Linked DNA regions of Coturnix japonica. The protein of the gene in region 1 purifies or fractionates together with the protein of each later gene. This does not show direct contact. Links are inferred from orthologs where the notes say so. Each region holds a gene or a part of one and is shown in the gene's direction. Other genes may lie near its edges. The genes, in order: LRRC41 and DRG1.

Evidence for each region.
Region 2: the proteins of LRRC41 (region 1) and DRG1 purify together in Homo sapiens (affinity purification with mass spectrometry; 3 studies listed by BioGRID and IntAct, counting the BioPlex papers as one, with this or other methods). This does not show direct contact. The link is inferred for Coturnix japonica from reciprocal best matches to the Homo sapiens genes LRRC41 and DRG1.

Annotation. Positions count from the first base shown.
Region 1 is NC_029523.1:19,158,399-19,161,378, reverse strand, and holds the end of LRRC41 (leucine-rich repeat-containing protein 41), read left to right. Parts: intron 1-203; coding exon 204-279; intron 280-1,506; coding exon 1,507-1,741; 3' UTR 1,742-2,451; downstream 2,452-2,980. UniProt on the Homo sapiens protein: Probable substrate recognition component of an ECS (Elongin BC-CUL2/5-SOCS-box protein) E3 ubiquitin ligase complex which mediates the ubiquitination and subsequent proteasomal degradation of target proteins.
Region 2 is NC_029530.1:7,969,726-7,973,996, reverse strand, and holds the start of DRG1 (developmentally-regulated GTP-binding protein 1), read left to right. Parts: upstream 1-1,434; 5' UTR 1,435-1,545; coding exon 1,546-1,587; intron 1,588-1,690; coding exon 1,691-1,814; intron 1,815-3,289; coding exon 3,290-3,465; intron 3,466-3,829; coding exon 3,830-3,899; intron 3,900-4,271. UniProt on the Homo sapiens protein: Catalyzes the conversion of GTP to GDP through hydrolysis of the gamma-phosphate bond in GTP. Appears to have an intrinsic GTPase activity that is stimulated by ZC3H15/DFRP1 binding likely by increasing the affinity for the potassium ions.

The DNA of each region.
Region 1 (2,980 bases):
TGCTGCATGAGCACTACAGTTGCTTATCTCTGTGGACAAACTGAAAATGAGTTGTTTATGCTGGGCATGCATGCTTTCAGTCTCCCTTCTACATAATATCTACGTAATCCCTTCTACATGATATTAATCTCAGCCCCTTTGCCATTCAGATATTTAAGATAGTTGCAAGCTGGGAAATAACAGCTGCATTTCTCCCCTCTTAGGGAATCACAGGCTGGTTGCCCTGGCAGACATTTTCTCTGAAGATTCCTCCTCTTCTCTTTGCCAGCTGGATGTCAGGTATTCTGTTGTTCTAAAGACACTGAATTTGTTTCAGGATGTCCAGAGCTCAGCTAGGCTCAGAATAGCAATGAAAGCCTGAGTACAGATTTTTTCTTTACTTAAGGGAACACATGGACAAGAAAAGTTTAGAGAATGCTGCAGTGAGCACTTAAAAACCTTAGGGAACTCCAGTGACTAAGGCCAGGCCATGCTCCCTGAGGTGCTGCACTGTCACATTTATAAATGAATCAAAGTTCCGTCTTAAAAGCAGCTTTCATTTTGTGCTCCCCTGCAAGGCTACTGCACACCTTCCTTGCTCTTAAGGCTAGAACTAATGTATCTATCTACACTTATTCATAGCCACCAGCGTGAACAGCTCTGTTCCCACTGCTCCAGCACAGGGAGAACACTGTCATTCCCCATCAGATCCTGCGAATGCCTCTGTATCCCTTTCATCTTCTTTGGTTTTCAACCTGAACCACTGCTGCTTTATTTATTTATTGAGCCTCAACAGCCATAAACACAGGCACTGTGTTATGTTCACAAAGCAGGTGGAAGGTGGCATTTCTGCAATATTGTTTTACTTGATTTTAATCCCATTTACATCCTAATGGCTCAGCTTACTGCGAGTACACAGGCATGAGAATCTAACCATAGCCATTCTTTCAGCAGTCTGGCATCCTGAAATTGTCATCTCCACTTGGCTATTATGTGCTGAGACTTAGTCTTGTGAAACTTTCTATCCATTTATGCATCTGTGCAAGAGAAATGATCTTTTAATCTAGAAATACGGGGATCTGACATCTCCTCTCAACGCTTTCTAAGAAAGAAATGATCCCTTATTGCTGAGGGCTGCATTGAGAGCTGTGGACTGGGTCAAGACCCTTGGGTCCAGTGAGCTGCTATAAGACTGAAGGGTGCTGACAGAAGCTTGAGTCCAACAGGATTTTAAGGTCATAGTGAAGACTAGTGCAGTTATTCATTAGGAGGCCAGGAGAGCAAGTTTTATGGTTTCTTCCCATAGTTGGTTTATAAAAGCTTTCAGCCCTTAATGCCATTGTGTTTCAGGAGCTGTTGGGTTTTTTTTTCCCCCAGTTTAAATTAATGGTTCATTCATACTCTGTATTGCTGAGGGAAGTTTGCATTGAAACATCCCCACATAGGTGGTTATTAGATGGAGCAGTAACTGCTCAAATTACAGCCTAGATTCTTAGTGACTTTTTTTGCCCTCCTTTTTCTGAGCAGCTCAAATTGCATCAAACCTGATGGGCTCCTGGAATTCACAAAGAAGCTGGAAGGCTACATCCAGCAGAGAGGGGGGAAGATTCAATTCACCCACTTACGCCTCTTCCAAAATTGGCTGGATCAGGATGCTGAGACAGCTCAAGAAGCACTTCGGCGTCTCAGAGCAGTGTGCAGTGTGGTCAATGACTCATGGGACTCTTCTCAGGCTTTCGCTGATTACATCAGTGTCATGTAAAGGACACAGGGCAGGAGAAAGCTGATCAGCATGAACTAAAACACTCCAGTCCATGGCCACTAAAACTTAGCACAGATGGAGGTTTTCTTCCTCTGGTTCAAGCAGGAGACAGTTCTTGTCACTTTTCTGTTCCTTTGAACAGTGAAGTGATATAGTGACCATTTGGGTCAACAGCTGTATTTCCAGTTAAAGTGGAACAGACATATTAAATAAGCTTCTATGATATCCTGCAGATCTCGACCGGGGTTTTTATACAGATTTCATGTTGGTTTACCAAATATCATATAAATAAATATCTCCACCCTTAGAGAAACTTGAAAGCTGCCTGAAAATAGACCCTGACAAGCACACCTAAGTGATGCAGTTTTTGAGCAGCAGGGTTGAAGAGGATGGCATCCAGAGGTCCCTTTCAACCTCAGCCATTCTGTTATAGTCTGTGATCCTTTAAATAAGAACTTCTCCTTCCACTTAAAATGAGTAGGGAAAAAAACCCAACTAAATAAAGCTCCCCCCCTTTTTGACCTTTTGTTTACCTTATAAAAAAAGCTGCATTCAATACAACATGCTGTTTGTTAGCAATCACTGATCAAGTTATCTGGGAAAATGACTGGTCCTGCCCCCATCCACTGTCTGCATCTTTTTTTTCCAGAGGCTTTGAAGAGTTGGGTTTTTTTTGTCATATTTTTATAATAAAAACAGAATTAAGAGAACCTACTGAAATGTGTATTTTATTAATGGGTTTTAACGTGATCTAATTAAAACACTTTGCCAGACATGGAGATCCTACCCATAATAAAGTAGTGACCAAAATGGAGCCTCATTTCCCCACTGTCTACATGTTCTTTAAGGTGAGAAGCCCAACATAAAATAAGAGGAAGTTTTTGGCACAGATTCTCATGATCCTGAATAACGAACCAAGGTTTATATTTTGTGACAGAAATGGAACCTGCACATTTTCAAATGAAGCTACCAATAAAAAACGTGACAGCATATCAAGTGCTTTAGAACTGCAGGCTTAACATAAACCTGAAGGCAGAATTTTGCTGAGTAGAAGGCACAGCATGGGAACCAGCACTGAATCTGATCAAGCACACAAGATCTCATTATTCCCAAGATGTTGTTTCTTGGGTATAAGACACAGCAGCAGAGACAAAGTGATGAACTCACCGCTGTTGCAGCAGATACTGACCAATGTTAAGGGCCTTCCAGCCTCTTAGGAGCCATGCTGTTCTGCTACCC
Region 2 (4,271 bases), on another chromosome or scaffold:
CCCACATTCTCCGGAGCATGAAATAACATATAATAATAACACCTTGTATTCAAAAAACCATGAGAGTCATCACAGTAAATCCGTTCACAACATGGAACCAACCTCTCCAGAGGTCCCTACCAGCCCCTACAACTGCATAAGCCTTTCTGAAGCTTCATAGAGGGTGCTCTTATAAACCAATACACTACAAATACTGAACTACTTCAAATATTCAGACCAGTTAGAAAATGTTTGTTGTTGTTGTTGTTGTTGTTTTCTGGAAAAATAATAGGGCAAATGATCTCAATGAAACTTTTACTCCTTTCAACACTGATAGAAGTTTGTAAGTGCCTCAGGTCCTTAGAGGACCTTTGCTTGAATAGCTCTCTGGAAAAAAAAAAAAGGATTTAAGGTTGTGTACTGAGCAGTTTTGTCTTAAGAATGTCATTTATTGACATCTCTGCTCATTCATCCCACACTTGTAGATTTAATTTGACACAGTAAGTGAGATCTGGAGTTGGGCTGTGAAAACAACTAATGCCATTGCTTTAGCCCTGCAGTTATCAATACCTTCTGCAAATACAGAGGCAGTCTGGTTAAGCATCCCACATTTGCACTTTTCTTCATGTTTTTTCCTGTTACCAAACAGGACTACAAATGTCAGGGACTAAAGGCTGAATTCAGCTATGGATCAAACAAGTCAAATTCCAACTGAAGTGAGAAGCAAAAGAAATTAACGGCAGTGCTGAACCTGCTGCGTCCTATGTTAAAAGCCAGTATTGTTCACAAAGGAATAATTAGAATTCCATGAACAAACACACGGCGGTAGGTGCACTCGTATTTACCCTGGCTTACCTGAGCTAACATTACTAGGAGCTCTAATCCCACTTTATTTGAGATTCTATTTCATTAAGTTCTACATAAGCTCATATTAATGACAGTTCCAACTGTAACGGAGCTCGTGACGTGAAAGATGGCTTTTTTAATTCACATGGGGCGGGAAGGAGACCAGGAGAGGAAGAATGAGAACAGAGACCTGTGCAAGGAGCTCTCCCTGCTTTACTTCTTACCGTAGGTCAACGTATAACAATTCCACAAGCAAAGCTGTGGTAAAGTTACATTCTGGGTGCTGCAATTCTCAGAATCCCGGCTGGCGGAGCAGGTGGTTGTGCAAGCATCCTTTTAAATGCCTCTATACAGTGCGTGGCACAGCGTGCTTCTTATTATAAACCACGTTCAATTTGACATGTAGATATATAACGTGAGAGCAAACGCCGGCTCTACGCTCCGCTCCCTCACTCCCGCTCTCCCTCACACACGCTCCCGCCCGTCCCCTCACGGCGCTGCACACGGCACGCAGCAGCGCCCCCCTCCGGCCGTGCAGTGCAGTGCCGTGCGCAGAGCAGTGAGCAGAGCGCAGCGCTCCGCCCGCCGCTTCCCGCCCACAGCTTCTCGCGAGAAGCCGTTGTGCGCCTGCGCGCTGCCGGCCGGGCCTGAGGAGCGGCCTGAGGCTGCGGTGCGGTCGGTAGTTGCGGTGCGGTCGGTAGGTCCGGGTCCATCGCCGCCATGAGCGGGACATTGGCGAAGATCGCGGAGATCGAGGCTGAGGTAACGAGCCGGCGGGGTCCGGCACCGAGCCGCTCCGTCACGGGGCGGGGGGATCCTGCAGGGCCCGGCGGACGGCTGAGCCCTGTGTTCCGCGTTGTTGCAGATGGCCCGCACGCAGAAGAACAAGGCCACGGCGCATCACCTGGGGCTGCTGAAGGCGCGGCTGGCGAAACTGCGCAGGGAGCTGATCACACCAAAGGGAGGAGGAGGAGGAGGACCGGGGGAAGGTGCGTGGGACGGGCTGTGTTATGTGGAGTGTGCTGAACGGAACTGGGTGCTGTGTTATAGCCCTGTCCATAGCAGGGTGTTGTGTTATAGCCCTGTCCATAGCAGGGTGTTGTGTTATGGCCCTGTCCATAGCAGGGTGCTGTGTTATGGCCCTGTCCATAGCAGGGTGTTGTGTTATGGCCCTGTCCATAGCTGGGTGCTGTGTTATAGCCCTGCCCATAGCAGGGTGTTGTGTTATGGCCCTGTCAATAGCAGGGTGTTGTGTTATAGCCCTGTCCATAGCAGGGTGCTGTGTTATGGCCCTGTCCATAGCAGGGTGCTGTGTTATGGGCCTGTCCATAGCAGGGTGCTGTGTTATAGCCCTGTCCATAGCAGGTGTTGTGTTATAGCCCTGTCCATAGCTGGGTGTTGTGTTATGGGCCTGTCCATAGCAGGGTGTTGTGTTGTGTTATAGCCCTCTCCATAGCAGGGTGTTGTGTTATGGTTCTGTCCATAGCAGGGTGTTGTGTTATAGCCCTGTCCATAGCAGGTGTTGTGTTATAGCCCTCTCCATAGCAGGGTGTTGTGTTATGGCCCTGTCCATAGCAGGGTGTTGTGTTATGGCCCTGTCCATAGCAGGGTGTTGTGTTATGGCCCTGTCCATAGCAGGGTGCTGTGTTATAGCCCTGTCCATAGCAGGGTGCTGTGTTATAGCCCTGTCCATAGCAGGGTGTTGTGTTATAGCCCTGTCCATAGCTGGGTGTTGTGTTATGGCCCTGTCCATAGCAGGGTGTTGTGTTATGGCCGCTGATCCACTAGCCAGGTGCTTGATTGTTGATGGCCCTATCCATAGAAACAGGAGGTGATTGTGTGTTATGCCCTTGTCCATAGCAGGGTGTTGTGTTATAGCCCTGTCCATAGCAGGGTGTTGTGTTATGGCCCTGTCCATAGCAGGGTGTTGTGTTATAGCCCTGTCAATAGCAGGTGCTGTGTTATAGCCCTGTCCATAGCAGGGTGCTGTGTTATAGCCCTGTCCATAGCAGGGTGCTATGTAATGGCCCTGCCCGTAGCTTGGTGTTGTGTTATGGCCCTGCCCGAGGCCTTGAGTTGAATCTGAAGAGTAAATAAAAGAACTTCTGCGTTTTGGTGGTATAACGGTGTGTTTGCAGAAGTCTTGAGGGTTTTGTGTGAAATGGACGTCTGTGCCCACATACAAAGGTGTGTGTGTGTGTGTGTTGGGGGGGGGAAGCTGCAGTGCTCACACAGCAGCTGGGTGAAGTGCAGCCCAAGTATCTGCGGTGCTCTGCTCTGCAGGCAGGTGGTGAATGGGGCAGTGTGCAGTGTGCGGGCTGGGTCCTGCTCTTAGCCTGTCAGGAAAGCTGACCTGTCTGTCACTCGGGCAATATTAAAACTAACGGTGATATGGCTCTGCAGAGCTGTAGGAGATGAGGAAATGGCTTTAGGTGCTTTGTCAATTCTTGTCATTTCCTTGCAGGTTTTGATGTTGCAAAGACAGGTGATGCCCGCATTGGGTTTGTGGGTTTTCCATCAGTGGGAAAGTCTACTCTGCTCAGTAATCTTGCTGGTGTCTACTCCGAAGTGGCAGCATATGAGTTCACTACACTAACTACTGTGCCTGGAGTCATTAGATACAAAGGAGCAAAGATACAGGTGAGATCTTCTGGTGTCTATGAAGTTAAGACTGTATATATAGATATAATGGTATTAGGACAGAATAGAATAGAATTTATCTGTAAAAGTGCTCGAGAGTACATTGGAAATGTTTCTGTGAGGTTCTAATTTTATTCTGCTTTTCTCTGGAGAACAGTTCCAGTGGTAGTTCTCATGCTCTGGTATTATCTATTCCATAGGAGTAACACTGTATGTAGGAATTAAAGTGGAAATAATTTTGCTCTTTGTCTTGTTAAGATGTGCAGTAAATTCAGCAGCTTAAGAAGAAAGGTACAAATAGATTTTATCTTAAAGAGAAACATTTGTTTTTTCTCATATGTCCCTTTCCTTTCCTGAACAACAGCTACTTGATCTGCCAGGAATTATTGAAGGTGCCAAGGATGGAAAAGGCAGAGGACGGCAAGTCATTGCAGGTGAGTGTAGTGCAGCTTGGAGGCAGCATCCAAAGCTGGTTCAGTTATTATGCCTTATGAGAATGGCTGAGTTTCTGCTCTTGACACATTCATGAAGCTGGATTGTATGCTGGAATTCAGTTGCTCAATGTGAAACATTAGCCATTGTCTTTTTCCTTTGTTTCAGTTAAATTCAGCAAACCTAAAGTCATATGTTGACACAGCCTTGAAAATCTGCTACCAATTTTAAAGGCAGATGAGAATCTATTAAACAAAGATGCTGCTTTGTCATCTTTATGTAGCTTATTGTCATCCTTGTGTGTCTGAATGTAGATAGAAAGGAAGGTTTTTCCAGCATCTTTGGTTCTTGCTCTGTGCAGTAAATCTTACAGC